Linked DNA regions of Arabidopsis thaliana. The protein of the gene in region 1 interacts with the protein of each later gene in a biochemical or structural test. Each region holds a gene or a part of one and is shown in the gene's direction. Other genes may lie near its edges.

Region 1 (6,066 bases):
ACTCAATTGATACGTGTACGTTTAGGTGGCATGTTTTTTAATAAAATAATTTTGTTTTATGTTTTGGGATTAAAAATATTTACTTTTAAAAAACTAAACCGAAAAACTGGAACCCCCAACCTCACATATTCATCACCATCGTATCCACAAACATTATCGAGACATAAATAATAATTTATAGATATATAGCAACAAATTGGAATTAAATTAATCAAACAATGTCATTTAGAATTGGGGAAATCCTAACCGACGTTATATGATTAATTTTAATTCCAATTTATGTATGTGTATATATCTATAAATTATTATTTATATATTGATGATGTTCGTGCATGATGGTAATGGTAACCTTTAAAACTTTTGAATCTCAAAACGTAAAACAACGTCATTTGGTTTGAAGAACATGCCATCTCGACGTACAAGTGTTAGCTGATTCAACAACCGTTACTGTTAATTACCATAACTAACGTTGACTCATAATTATGTACAAAAGTAAGAGTTGAGGTAGATAATTTGAATTTTTTAAATGTTAAAGTATGAACATTACTAATTGTTTGTTCAGATTTATAAAACACAGTACCTATTTTGATGTGTTAAAATGTAATCGGGAAAATAGGAATTTTCCCAAGAAAAAAAAATACACTAAAATTTTGATGTGTTAAAATGTAATAAATACAAGTACCTATTTCTTTCTACAACAGGTATCACATGATCTGCTCAATCTCATTTTGAAGGCAAGGTCGAACCCTGTTTGTAACTAAATATTTTACAAATACACTAAAAGTTTTGTTTTGTTTTCCTCATGCAGAAAAAAGAAAAGAAAGAAGAAGAAAAAAAACTCACAAAAACATACATTGTTCTACAATATGTTAAAGTAATTGTTCTAGGGTAATAAAATCCGTGTCTGCCTCTTCCACTTCAATAGGAAAGTGTAAGTTTTTCGAATCTTTTTGGCCAGATAATTTAAAACCGACCGAGGAAACTTACTTTTGTAAAAGTGACCATTTGCACATAGGAAGTAGAAAGTTGATAATTGGAAAATTTATAATATTTTATACAAAAGAAGTGTTTAAGAACCACCGCTTGGTCTCACCACTCAAATTCGAACGTATGGCTCGTGGGCACAAACTCCTGTACCAACCTTTAGATACTAGCGGCACGAGGAGACTTCTATTTTCTCTTTGTTTTTAAGTTTTTTTATCGACTTAAATATGGCTTTTTGCACCATTTAATTTCAAAACCAATGTCTTTCTCTCGAGGAACTTTGTTTTTATTTCTTAGAAGATGAGGGGAGATTTACTATCTAAATAAAATTTTAAATGTTTGTAAGTATTATGAGCTCAACAATTTTGTCAATAGTGCCACAAATTTAAACGTTTGCTTTTTGTCTTCTTTGAAAAATCAAATGCTGAAAAACTGTTACATCTCTTTTTCTTAAAAACTCTTGTCTCTCTCCTTTTCCTTCTGCTGAGGTAATTGAATGCTGCAAAGAGAAAGAGAATAACTTAAACCCAAAATTACACTTACCGCCAGAAAAAAAAAAGAGTTCAGTTTAATCTAACATATTTTATACAATACAATTGAATTATATTAGTAAAAAAAAAACTTCCATATAAATCATGGAACAAACTGGAACACATGGGCTCTCTTATTTTAATTTATTTTCTTTTTTGAGGGATTTAACCATGTTTATTATATAGTTTTATAAATATATATATACCATCTCTCCATAATTTATAAAATGAAAGAAAGAGAGAGTCTTCTTGTTGGAGTAAACCCAAACGGTTTTAGATTACTTATTAGCTGTTCATCAGTTCTTCCTCTCTAAAAGAGTAAAACCTAAACATCTCTCTCTGTTCTATTAGAACCAAAGACCAATCTTTGTGAACAAAACACATCTCGTATACTTCAGATCTAGACTCGAAAATTTTAGACCTCTTTACAATTGGTCTTTGTTCATCTGAAGTTGGAGAAAATAGTTAGCTTAGGTCGGATCTTTTCATATGCTTTGGATCCTCCTTCGTCTCTTTTGTATAATTTTAACCTTATCAAGAGTTCTTTTTGAATCTCAAAAGATTATATAGTAGTATAGAAGGTTTATATGTATATGTATAGCCAGATAGTTTATGTTGTTTAAAGATTCGATGATAGCCAAGTTGGGTTAACTTTCTTTTTCCTTGCCTCCTTACTCACATACAAACCCTATCTGTCCGTACAAAATACTAAAAACCCTAACTTTTCTCTCTCCACCAATCTAGTTTATTGTTTCATTTCCACTTCAACGATGAAAAGCTTGCATGTGGCGGCCAACGCCGGAGATCTGGCTGAGGATTGTGGAATACTCGGTGGAGACGCTGATGATACTGTTTTGATGGATGGAATTGATGAAGTTGGTAGAGAGATCTGGTTAGATGACCATGGAGGAGATAATAATCATGTTCATGGTCATCAAGATGATGATTTGATTGTTCATCATGACCCTTCAATCTTCTATGGAGATCTCCCAACGCTTCCTGATTTCCCATGCATGTCGTCTTCATCATCGTCTTCAACATCTCCAGCTCCTGTCAACGCAATCGTCTCCTCAGCCTCTTCTTCTTCGGCAGCTTCTTCCTCCACTTCCTCAGCTGCTTCTTGGGCTATATTGAGATCAGATGGAGAAGATCCGACTCCAAACCAAAACCAATACGCATCAGGAAACTGTGACGACTCTTCTGGTGCATTGCAATCCACAGCTTCCATGGAGATTCCATTAGACAGCAGTCAAGGTTTTGGTTGCGGCGAAGGCGGTGGTGATTGCATTGATATGATGGAGACTTTCGGGTACATGGATCTACTTGATAGCAACGAGTTCTTTGACACCTCAGCTATATTTAGCCAAGACGACGACACGCAAAACCCTAACTTGATGGACCAAACCCTTGAGAGACAAGAAGACCAGGTCGTTGTTCCGATGATGGAGAATAACAGTGGTGGAGACATGCAAATGATGAATTCTTCCTTGGAACAGGACGATGATCTCGCTGCTGTGTTTTTGGAGTGGCTAAAGAACAACAAGGAGACTGTGTCGGCTGAGGATTTGAGGAAAGTAAAGATAAAGAAAGCTACGATTGAATCAGCGGCAAGAAGACTAGGCGGTGGTAAAGAAGCGATGAAGCAGCTTTTAAAGCTGATTCTTGAATGGGTCCAAACTAATCACTTACAAAGAAGACGCACCACCACCACCACCACCAACCTCTCTTATCAACAATCATTCCAACAAGATCCATTTCAAAACCCTAACCCTAATAACAACAACCTAATCCCACCGTCCGACCAAACCTGTTTCTCACCTTCAACATGGGTTCCTCCACCACCACAACAACAAGCTTTTGTCTCGGACCCGGGTTTTGGATACATGCCTGCTCCAAACTATCCGCCACAGCCAGAGTTCCTTCCTTTACTTGAATCTCCACCGTCATGGCCACCACCACCACAGTCTGGTCCCATGCCACATCAACAATTCCCCATGCCGCCAACCTCGCAGTATAATCAATTTGGAGATCCAACAGGTTTCAATGGATACAACATGAATCCGTACCAATATCCTTATGTTCCTGCAGGACAAATGAGAGATCAGAGATTACTCCGTTTGTGTTCCTCAGCAACTAAAGAGGCAAGAAAGAAACGGATGGCGAGACAGAGGAGGTTCTTGTCTCATCACCACAGACATAACAACAACAACAACAACAACAACAATAATCAGCAGAACCAAACCCAAATCGGAGAAACCTGTGCCGCGGTGGCTCCACAACTTAACCCCGTGGCCACAACCGCCACGGGAGGGACCTGGATGTATTGGCCTAATGTCCCGGCAGTGCCGCCTCAATTACCGCCAGTGATGGAGACTCAGTTACCTACCATGGACCGAGCTGGCTCAGCTTCTGCTATGCCACGTCAGCAGGTGGTACCAGATCGCCGGCAGGTAGACATGCACAATCATCTTTCTCATTGTTTATTCTTTAATTTAGCAATACTCGAATAGTTTGTGTAATTGCACCACTCGTTTGGTTTGATGAAGAAGCTAAAGATTTTACATGTGTTTTTTTTGATAAAATGTGAATCGGAAGATTATACATTTGCAATGGAAATGAAATGATTTTGATCTTTTTGGTTTGATTTTAGGGATGGAAACCAGAAAAGAATTTGCGGTTTCTCTTGCAGAAAGTCTTGAAGCAAAGCGACGTGGGTAACCTCGGAAGGATCGTTTTGCCAAAAGTAATTTTTCTTCTAATTTCTTGTAGCCTTTGCTTTCCATTTTCTAAAAAAGGTTCAATGTTTGTGTAAAAATATTGTCAAGTTTTTATTTTATTTTTACTCTTATTGGTTAAGTTATATTTTACTGAATTTTTATTTTTTTTAGAAAGAAGCTGAGACACACTTGCCGGAGCTAGAGGCAAGAGACGGCATCTCTCTGGCCATGGAAGACATCGGAACCTCTCGTGTTTGGAACATGCGCTACAGGTAACTGATTATGATGCTAACATGTTAACATTGATTCTTTTTATAAAAACAATTCGTGTATTTTGTCAAAAATTGGAACTCGACCAAAATGTTTTTTCGGTTATTTAATTGTCTTCTTAAATTGGTTTTGCAGGTTTTGGCCTAACAACAAAAGCAGGATGTATCTCCTCGAGAACACCGGTACGTTTTTGAAAATGTACCCGTTAATAATTTTCCTTTCTTTTGGTTTGTTTGTTCTCTTGTAATTATTGTTGTGGACGCATACATATCTAATTTTCCTTGAAATTACGTTTACAGGCGATTTTGTGAAAACCAATGGGCTCCAAGAAGGTGATTTCATAGTCATATACTCCGACGTCAAATGTGGCAAATATGTAAGAGAAGCATCACAATATTTTTCTATACTTTTCATTAGTATTTAACTCTCATCATTACTTTTGTTGGTATTTATCTTGTCATAATTAATTGAGAATAATATTATGACAGTTGATACGAGGGGTTAAAGTAAGACAACCGAGCGGACAAAAGCCGGAGGCCCCACCGTCGTCAGCAGCTACGAAGAGACAAAACAAGTCGCAAAGGAACATAAACAATAACTCTCCGTCGGCGAATGTGGTGGTCGCTTCACCAACTTCTCAAACTGTTAAATGAAAAACAGAGACAAAAAGAAACAATATAAATATTATTATGTACCAAATAAGAAAGAGGGCAAAAGGAAAAAATGGCAGCGTACCCGAGTGTGCCACTTCTCGTGCATGCATGGGATCTTGAAGACAAATGGAGGGTCATGATTAAAGCTGTTTGGTCGGGGTCCGGGTTTTTACTCCATTTTTTGCTTTTTCTTGTCGAGTCGGTTCTTTTATAACTCTTTACTCTTTTTACCTTCAGGATATTGTAGAGATGATTAATTCTGGAAATGGTGTTTGTGTTATATTTCTGGAGAGATGATTATATAGTTCTTTTGTTGTTGTAATTGGTTAATATTACATATGTGGCTCATTTCTTGAGTCGAGCTTACATATCGTTTATAATGTGAATGTTTTAAGAAGAGTTGAATGATACAATATTTTTACACAAACATTGATAATGATAATAAAAATGATAATTAATGTACAAAATTATTTGTAAATATGGACATATGGACAATTTAAGAAGGAATTGAGATAATTAATTTTGTACATTAATTATCATTATCAATGTACAAAATTATTTGTAAATATGGACATATGGACAATTTAATGATAGTAAAAATGATAATTAATGATAATTAATGTACAAAATGATAATTAATGTACATATGGACATATGTACAAAATTATCCATATCATTCACATATTCACATTGTAAATATTTGTAAATAGAATGTTTACATATGGACATTTTAAGAAGAGTTGTTCCTTACCACTTTGATTCTATCATTTTCTTGTTTATCTAGTTAGCTTGAACCCTTTGTATTATTGAGTAACGAAAATCTTTGGAGGAAAAAAACAAGTGAGGTAGGATTATAATTTTCCTCATATAAGTGTGTTGTTTGTGATACATCATTATTCTTTCTTATTTTTG
Region 2 (5,426 bases), on another chromosome or scaffold:
TTTGATGGTAAATCAAAATATATTTTAGATAGGTACAAATCATTTTAGCGGACAAAAAAAATGTACAACAGCAAGAGGGTGATTTAGCAACAAAATTTAGCTTGAAAAAATTGATGTTTATAGATTATGTCTAAATCTGAATAAAAGAATAAATAATTAAGTTTGATAGATCATGCAAGAGGGTGGTTTAGCAACAAAAATAAACATATTACCCTGTCTCATAAATCATTGAGATTATCAATAAAAAAAACACCCAATTTCTGTCTTAATATTGTCCCCACCAATGTGAGTCCATATCTGATTCTCTGTTTCTTTCTTCCCTACTTGGAATTATATAAAAATATGTATATACATATTAATGTGTATATATATATATATATGTGCGTGTTCCCATATCAATGATAAATGCTCTTTATCAAAAGGTAAAATGATTATAAAAAAAAATAAGTTGTTTCATTTTATTTGTTGTTTTCAATGCAAAATTTATTATTATTTTATTATTTTTGATTCTTGAAATTCTGCAACTTTTTATTGGTTAAATTATTTTAAAATATGTAATTAAACATATTTTTAAAATTTAAGAAAACAGAAACTAAATGATCTTAATCAATGTACCAAAATCTTAAACTAGAACAAAATAGAAACAAAAGAAGTATTATAGAAGAAATTAACACTTTGTTCACTAACTTGACTACTATAAATGATTATAAATTAACACTTTATGTAGCATTCGACTTTTCTGTTTATAGAAGAGGAGACTCACTTAAGTCTTTAATATCATGTTTGCATATGTTGTAGTCTTTTGTTTTTAACATCTTTGGATTGACATGGTCTATTCTATAGCCAATATCTATTATGCAAGATAACACGATTTAGTGGAGTCAAACTCTGGTGGAAAAAGCGGAATCAAATGGATTTAACCACAAGACTAAAGGAATATTTCCTGCAAGATATATGTAGTCTTAAATCTATAATTTAGCGATATAAAAAAGGACAATTTTTAAATATGATACTTAAGTTTTTGTTTATTTCTTTAAAAATACCACTTAATGTTTGGTTTCTTAAAATAACATAAAACTTAAATTTAACTTCCAACATTCAAAATTAAACTCTAAACTTTAAACACTAAACCCTAACCCCTAAAAACAATATCTTAAAATTAAAATGGTCAATTCAAACTTAATTTTTTTAATTCTGATGAACTCTTGAAAATCAAAATTGAAGTATAATATTTTTGGAAAACAAAACTTTTGGTGGTATTTTGACAACACAACTTGAAAGTGTGATATTTTGCTACAATACTCCTCTAGAATTCGAGGCTCCCTTAAAACAAAATATTATTTTCGTGTCAGTCATATTTTTTTGAGACATTTCTCAAAATACCACATTTTCAAGTCTTATTGCTAAAATACCATTTCATCCGGTATTCGATCTTCTATCAAAAGAAAATTATATTCATGTAGGATGTCTAGGTTTGGTCCAGACAAGTTAAATGGTAATCTGGTAACATGCGATTCAGTTATGTTTAAGTGTTAATCAGTTAATATTCTAAACTCGGAATAAATGTGTGATGATCCTTGAATATAAATTTATTTTGTAATACTTAAATATATTTTTACCAAAATTAACCGGATCATTGGATAAAGTTTATAAAATAATTTTTTTTTGATGATAATGCCATGAAAACAATTTATAGTACGGATGAGAAACAATGAGGCTGATTATTTTATCTCCGTCAGCTACAAATGATCTCAGACATTTTGTTTTTATGTTCAACTTGGTTTTTTATTCAGAGGTTAAAAAATGGGCACAAGTTTCTATTCAGACACATACACACATAAATAAAATAGAGAATTCACTGTTAAAGTTAGTTGACACAATAGTAAATGCGATACATGCTAGAGTCACGGAAGAGGCAAAAACAAACTCCAAAGAGAGACATATAAGAAAAAGACAAAAACCCTTAAGAAGCTTATCACATTCTTAAAGCACGAAAATTCAGAATAAGATTCAGTCATCCTTTAGCACAAAAAAAAAAAAAAAAAGATCCAGTCATCCAATACTAGTTCCCCAGAAATAAAGGTGATATATTTTTTTTTTTGAGAAGCCTATCCAGTACCAACCTCAATTCTCTAGGTTAGATATAGTCTGGGTAGTATATATGTTTCTTCACTGATTAGTAATCTCTGTGTGTAGTACACTTACTCACTAGTGCTACTCTTTTGGATCTTTCTGGGGTTTTTCTTTTGGTTATAAAACCAGAAGAAGAAGATAACTGTTTGTTATTTTAATACTTACCATTATCATCATCTTTGTAGAGAGAGAGATATGCATCATTTTGTCCCTGACTTCGATACCGATGATGATTATGTCAACAACCATAATTCTTCTTTGAATCATCTTCCTAGAAAATCCATTACTACTATGTAAGTTCTTTTATTCAAACTTATATTAAAAAAAAAAAAAAGTTTGATTAGTTCAAGATCTGAGTATTTATAGTATTGAAAACTTTAGGGGTGAAGATGATGATCTTATGGAGCTTTTATGGCAGAACGGTCAAGTTGTTGTTCAAAACCAGAGACTTCACACCAAGAAACCTTCTTCTTCTCCACCGAAGCTTCTTCCTTCTATGGATCCTCAGCAGCAACCTTCTTCAGATCAGAATCTTTTTATTCAAGAAGATGAAATGACTTCTTGGCTTCATTATCCTCTCCGTGACGATGATTTCTGCTCAGATCTTCTCTTCTCCGCCGCACCTACTGCGACGGCTACCGCGACGGTGAGTCAAGTCACCGCCGCGAGACCGCCAGTATCTTCGACGAATGAGTCGAGGCCGCCGGTGAGGAACTTCATGAATTTCTCGAGGCTGAGAGGGGATTTTAATAACGGTAGAGGTGGTGAATCTGGACCGTTGCTTTCGAAGGCGGTTGTGAGAGAATCTACGCAGGTAAGTCCTAGCGCAACACCGTCGGCGGCGGCGAGTGAATCCGGTTTAACACGGCGGACGGATGGTACTGACAGTTCCGCCGTAGCTGGAGGCGGCGCGTATAATCGGAAGGGAAAAGCAGTGGCTATGACGGCGCCGGCGATCGAGATAACCGGTACATCGTCATCTGTAGTGTCAAAGAGCGAAATCGAACCGGAGAAGACGAACGTCGATGATAGGAAACGAAAAGAGAGAGAAGCCACCACTACTGATGAAACTGAATCCCGTAGCGAGGTGAGTCAAAAAAACACAGAACAGAGTCGTTGTTAGCTATCGTGCGCAAGTCAAATACGGCGCATTTTAGTCTGACTTTGTAGTTTTCAGCGCATTTTTAATTAACTTTTTTGGTGTTTTCTTGTGGTGCAGGAAACAAAACAAGCACGTGTATCAACAACATCTACCAAGAGATCTCGTGCTGCTGAAGTTCATAATCTCTCTGAAAGAGTACGTTTGTGTTTTTTCTTATGTTTTTGTAATCTTTTTCGATAAAGATTTCGCAATGAATCTGAAGAATGTCGCGGATTTGGTAACAGAAACGGAGAGATAGGATCAATGAGAGAATGAAAGCTTTGCAAGAACTTATACCTCGCTGCAACAAGGTCTTCGACGATCTTTTTTCTTTCTCTTCAAGTTATTGTATACGTTAACCTTGTTACTGATTGTTGTTTCTTTGATCCTCAGTCAGATAAAGCTTCGATGCTAGATGAAGCTATTGAGTACATGAAATCTCTTCAGCTTCAAATACAGGTTCATTTTCTTTAAAGGATTCTAAGTCTTGAAAGCCCTTTTTAAGTTCTTGAAAATGTACACTTTACCATGAAAACTCCAGTTTATATGACTGAGATTAATGCAGATGATGTCAATGGGATGTGGAATGATGCCAATGATGTATCCGGGCATGCAACAGTACATGCCTCATATGGCGATGGGTATGGGTATGAACCAGCCTATTCCTCCTCCTTCCTTCATGCCATTCCCCAACATGTTAGCCGCTCAAAGACCTTTGCCTACACAAACTCACATGGCCGGGTCAGGACCGCAATACCCTGTTCATGCTTCTGACCCGTCAAGAGTCTTTGTACCGAACCAGCAGTATGATCCAACCTCGGGCCAGCCTCAGTATCCAGCTGGTTACACGGATCCATATCAGCAGTTCCGCGGTCTCCACCCGACCCAACCACCTCAGTTTCAGGTACTAAACAGTCATCTCTTTCCCAAAAATGACTAGTTCCTCTGCTTACAAGTCACAAGTTCTTATCTTTCTTATTTTAGAATCAAGCAACATCGTACCCAAGTTCGAGCAGGGTGAGTAGTAGTAAGGAATCTGAGGATCACGGAAACCACACAACAGGTTAATAATGTCCATGGAGCAACAAGAAGATCTGTTTTCACAAGCAAACACAATTTCTTATCCGACCCGACCCAACCACCTCAGTTTCAGGTACTAAACAGTCATCTTTTTCCCAAAAATGGCTAGTTCCTCTGCTTACAAGTCACAAGTTCTTATCTTTCTTATTTTAGAATCAAGCAACATCGTATCCAAGTTCGAGCAGGGTGAGTAGTAGTAAGGAATCTGAGGATCACGGAAACCACACAACAGGTTAATAATGTCCATGGAGCAACAAGAAGATCTGTTTTCACAAGCAAACACAATTTTGAGAAATTGACAGAGAGACCTAACATGTATATATATCGCCATCTGTTTCTTGTTTTTCTTTGGTTTGTTTTGTCCTCTCTTCTCAGGTTGTATACTTAGAGAGCTGTACATGTAATGATCCAGAGATCTAGGAATCAATACATAGAGGTTGCAGAGGCTTAGTGCAAAGAATAAATATGAGAAAGTTAGGTTCATATACATACCCGATCATTATTCTTTTCTCGTCTATTATTATTACTTTTGACGAAAGCAATTCTTGATTAAGCTTAACAGTGAATATTTACAAATGTTCCACTCCCAAGTCCCAAAGACTTATCGATACAAATGCACAAACAAATCTTAGTCCTTGCAACTAAGCTCACAATGTGACACAAAATATGTAAATAGACGGACAAAAGCCAGCAAACAAAAGCAAGAAAATTAATGATGTAATTGGCCAAGCATTGCCCATTTTGTAGTGTCTTTCATAGGATCTCTTCATCTAAAAACGTAGTGATGTCAACTAATATGGTATCTCCAGTCCATGACCATAATATCGAAAATATAAAGCTAAAAGAAAAGGCAAACAAATTTCTCAAACCGTTAAGACTTGCTATCTCCATGACCATAAGACTTGACAAACATGCATATATATGTATCAAACCGTTAAATCAATTTTGTATTTGCTTAATAAAGAAGATGTAAAAAGAAGTTTAACATTTATAGTATTTGAAAACTTATATATTAGTATTACTATTTCCTTATTTTTGTCAAAGTTATTTTACTATATATTTCCTTAACACA
Region 3 (4,018 bases), on another chromosome or scaffold:
TTTTGAGTGAAGAGTGAATGTAGGTTTTGTTCTGAAGTTCTCATTTGATTTTTTTTATTAGGTTGGTTGATACTTTTGTTTAGCATGTCAAAAGTCATGCAACTTTGTTAAACTTGTTGTACATTTCTTCGTTATAAACTACTTATACGTAATGTCCTTTGTTAAACTCATATTTCTTTGTTGGTGTTAGGACCTCGAATTTGGAAAATAACAAGAAGGTTGATACGCATAATACAAACTTACAAAAGACAATTAAAAGAGGAAGAGAAGCCAAAACCTAATATCTAAAATATTTTCTTACTGTTAAAGTAGTGATATCTAAAAAATTAAAAACTGTCTTTGGCGAAAAAAAAAAGGGTTCAAGAATAATAACATGTAAGACCACCATGCATCATTCTTATTTCTTCTTTTAGTTTGAACTTCAATAATCCGTCCTCCTCTGTCTTAACCAACTCCTTAATTAATCTGTCTTAAGCTTCCTTAATTTCTACAACACTTCCTTTGTCTCAACCAAATTTGTGTAGTATCATTCATGTCCCACTCTTGTACATCTCTCACTTCTATGCTTAATTGGAAGATTGTATCACAGAACATGCCACAGCTTGTGCCCAATGCCTCAGTCTCGTTTTAACCTGTTGAGGATCATCTCCTGCAAATTTATAGAATATAACATCAAAACACAATCATATTATGAAAATATCAATCTGACGAAAAAGTTTAGGTTGCTATGTTACCTGGAGACATAACCTTCAAAGAATCAGAGTCGCTTATTGGACTACCAAAAGAGGAAGATCGGTCTCCGAGGGAAGTAGGACGGGAGGATGAAGAAGATCCACCACTGCCTGGTGTAGAAACCGGCGAGATCTGACGAGTCACAGCGAAGTAAAGGTCCAATGCAGGCAATGTAGTTGTAAGATGTTGCCCTTGCTCCTCGTTAAACCCGAACCCTAACTCAATAGATCCTTTGAGCTCACTCAAGTCCTCGTCCGTCAAGTCATCTCCTCCTTCGTTATGCTTCTCAAGGTGATGGAGCATCTGGCGACGGCGACGCTCCCATGCGATGTCTCTACGGGTCTCTAACATGGAGAGTTGCTTCGAGAGACGTTTCTTAGCCTTAGCTTTCGGTGGTTCCAATGGCATCTTTTGAAGCTCTTCTACTTCGCTGTCGTAGAAAGATGACGACGATGAGGTTGATACACTCAATGCTTCTCCAACCCTCACCATCTTTCTCTGTTGTTAATATAAGAAATCGCAGGCACGTTTATGATTATCAACAAGGGGCAGAATATTTTTGTGATGATGTGCCTTGTTGTACAAGTTAGCTCATGTAAGCGAGGAAAAACAGAAGAACTTGAATAGATTAGTGAAAATCCCAGAACTCTGATTCCCTTTAAAAAATGTTCATCCCGGAAGAAGAAAAGGGGTAAGAAGTTTTTTCTGTTTGGTTTATTTTATTAATGTACAGAAGGAGATATGTTTTCTGGTGAACTTTAATGGTGTGATATTACAAAACACAGAAACAATGAGTTTCTTCTACCACACATTTGGTGTTGTTTAAAAGTAGGGTTTGTAGAATTTCCATTTGCCATTTTTAAAGGGATCTCTCTGTTAATTCCCTGGGGAGATTCTGGAGCTTGATTGATTATGGAGACAGAATCCAAAAACAAACCTTGGTGGTTTTTGTTGGAATAACTAACTCTTACTTGATATAGGTTTTGTTCTAGAAATTTTTGGTGTTGTTGTTGGTCGAAACATATTACTAACACTTGCAACTAACAAGATGGTATAACCACTAAACTAGTACAAGTATCATTTAGTTAATTAAACATGTTAGTATGTTACAAAATTTACGAATCAATAACGAAATAAGCAAAATAACCAATTCCAAGCCAAGTGGGACAAACTCGACCGAAAAGACCAAAAATCAATCATAATTTGGTATCAAAACCATTATACCGGGAAGTACCAGAATAACTCGGTTGGGCCTAGCCTCTAATAAAAATCGGTCGGGAAAGAAACTCACAACTCTCTCTCACACAGCAACGTTCTATTGAAATTTGGCCTGAATCCCCAGAGTGCGACGAAAATGCAGCAGCAAGTAAGAAAATCATCTCGAATAGGAGTAATTTATTTTGTTAGCATCTTCTTCAATTGATGCTAATGGATGGTTGATGATGATGTTGCAGGGGAGTAAGAGTGGATCTGAGATGGAGGTGACATGGGAGGACCAGCAGAACATTAATATCTTCAGCCGTCTCAACAACAGAGTCCATGACCTCGATGACGATATCAAATCCGCCAAGGTTCTCTCTTTTATGTATCCTTGATTTTTTCTTCTACACGATTCTAGGGTTTTAAGATTAGGTTTTATTCATGGATTCAATTCGCTATGTTGCATCGTTTAGGTGGTGGAATACTGTGATTAGATCCAATCCCGTAATGAATTCACCAAATAATGAATCTACTACACATCGGTTTGCTCTCAGCTAACTGATTAACTCCTTGTTGATGAAATGAAATCAGCACTGCTACAACCCGATACAAAAGCTAATTACAATGATCCTGAGAGTATATGATAAGTGTTGTTGGTCTAGTGTAGGATCATGATTAAGATTATTTGAGATAATTCCTGATTTTATTGATTGTTGTAAATTGTAATTTTACTTCATTCAGATAACCCCACAAGAGAATCTCTATACTCTCATATCTCATTTTACATTCTCTTTAGGTTGTACCAATCTACTGTAACCTGCTTATACCATCCGTGCACTCTTACATATCACTGCTCCCTTAACTTTCTCCTTCGTTGGTGAATATAAGCCTGCTAGGGTATATCAGATCACTGTAATTAGATATTGTAATGGTGTTGATAGTTCAGCATGTGTAGGAAACAAAAAGGGAGATGTGGGACTTTGCAATAATAAGTGGATACTTGTCTTGTTCAATCGTTTCATTAGGGGGATTAAAACAGCATTCTACTGTGTGTTTCTGCATCTAGCTTGATTAAAAAACAATTGATTTATGCAGGAAAAGTGTGAAAATCTAGAGGATGCAGGGAACGAGTTGATCCTTGCTGATGAGGAGATGGTGCGTTTTCAAATAGGAGAAGTGTTTGCTCATGTGCCGAGGGACGACGTAGAAACAAAGATAGAAGAGATGAAAGAAGCGACCTGCAAAAGCCTTGAGAAACTCGAGCAAGAGAAGGAATCAATTGTAACACAAATGGCAGCGCTGAAGAAGGTATTGTATGCTAAGTTCAAAGATTCTATCAATCTTGAAGAAGACTAGTTAGTAGTTATTCCCAACTTTGTTTTTCTTCTATTGCATCAGTTTATGATTCTACTGTGAGTGTAGACCAAAGGATTCTTGAATTTAACATACTGGTTTTGTTCATTATGAAATTTCATCTGGTTAATGCATACTTTTCTTTTTCTATCGGAAATTATGTTTTTGGCAATTCTATAAAATACCATAACACCAATTTGTTTTTTCCCAGAATTTGTATACATTCAAACAAAATGAAACACACACGCCAAAATATAAATACAAGAATCTTTGGGAAATCCAAAATACAAAGCCCTAAATTGATTCCCTTAGCTTCTTCAATCAAAAACCCAAGAAATTACGAGTAATTCTCCAAACCGGTTTACTCAAATTGGGGTATAACTCGACGGTGGCCGGTTACCAGAACCGGCAGACACCAGGCCACCACGGCGAGCACTTTCTTCATCAAGAAACAAATCATCGGTATTACGAAAAGCGCCGTGAGCTCCGACGATGAGCAAACCAATGATCAGCGAAACCAGAACGTTTTCGCCCACATCTGTATATACCAATGCCAAAACCGTTACCAAGCTGAGTAAAACCAGCACGATCTTGTCATCTACTTCTTTCCCCGAAATCACAATCGAATCGTTTGCGTCTCGAGAGAAATAGAGAAGAATCCATCCGATGAAGACGACGATGAAAGCGATCATAGACATCGGATGGTAAATAAGGCCGAGGAAAACAATGGCGA

What was found. Proteins that work in one complex are often made in the same cells at the same time.
Region 2: the proteins of ABI3 (region 1) and PIL5 form a complex in vitro, tested with the Arabidopsis thaliana proteins (one study listed by BioGRID).
Region 3: the proteins of ABI3 (region 1) and AIP3 form a complex in vitro, tested with the Arabidopsis thaliana proteins (one study listed by BioGRID).

Annotation. Positions count from the first base shown.
Region 1 is NC_003074.8:8,995,627-9,001,692, forward strand, and holds ABI3 (AP2/B3-like transcriptional factor family protein), read left to right. Parts: upstream 1-1,743; 5' UTR 1,744-2,284; coding exon 2,285-3,964; intron 3,965-4,164; coding exon 4,165-4,257; intron 4,258-4,402; coding exon 4,403-4,503; intron 4,504-4,636; coding exon 4,637-4,683; intron 4,684-4,800; coding exon 4,801-4,877; intron 4,878-4,989; coding exon 4,990-5,154; 3' UTR 5,155-5,559; downstream 5,560-6,066. UniProt on the Arabidopsis thaliana protein: Participates in abscisic acid-regulated gene expression during seed development. Regulates the transcription of SGR1 and SGR2 that are involved in leaf and embryo degreening.
Region 2 is NC_003071.7:8,703,441-8,708,866, reverse strand, and holds PIL5 (phytochrome interacting factor 3-like 5), read left to right. Parts: upstream 1-1,862; 5' UTR 1,863-2,082; exon of another isoform or gene 2,083-2,318; 5' UTR 2,319-2,328; coding exon 2,329-2,426; intron 2,427-2,514; coding exon 2,515-3,220; intron 3,221-3,352; coding exon 3,353-3,430; intron 3,431-3,519; coding exon 3,520-3,585; intron 3,586-3,667; coding exon 3,668-3,733; coding exon of another isoform or gene 3,734-3,748; intron 3,749-3,839; coding exon 3,840-4,178; intron 4,179-4,258; coding exon 4,259-4,342; 3' UTR 4,343-4,427; intron 4,428-4,507; coding exon of another isoform or gene 4,508-4,591; 3' UTR 4,592-4,843; downstream 4,844-5,426. UniProt on the Arabidopsis thaliana protein: Transcription activator. Negatively regulates chlorophyll biosynthesis and seed germination in the dark, and lightinduced degradation of PIF1 relieves this negative regulation to promote photomorphogenesis.
Region 3 is NC_003070.9:2,809,195-2,813,212, reverse strand, and holds AIP3 (ABI3-interacting protein 3), read left to right. Parts: upstream 1-1,899; 5' UTR 1,900-2,086; coding exon 2,087-2,098; intron 2,099-2,186; coding exon 2,187-2,303; intron 2,304-3,027; coding exon 3,028-3,288; 3' UTR 3,289-3,435; downstream 3,436-4,018. Other genes in the region: AT1G08790 (1-phosphatidylinositol-4,5-bisphosphate phosphodiesterase epsilon-1, putative (DUF1685)), read right to left, coding at 567-649, 735-1,224; PRA1.E (prenylated RAB acceptor 1.E), read right to left, coding at 3,651-4,018.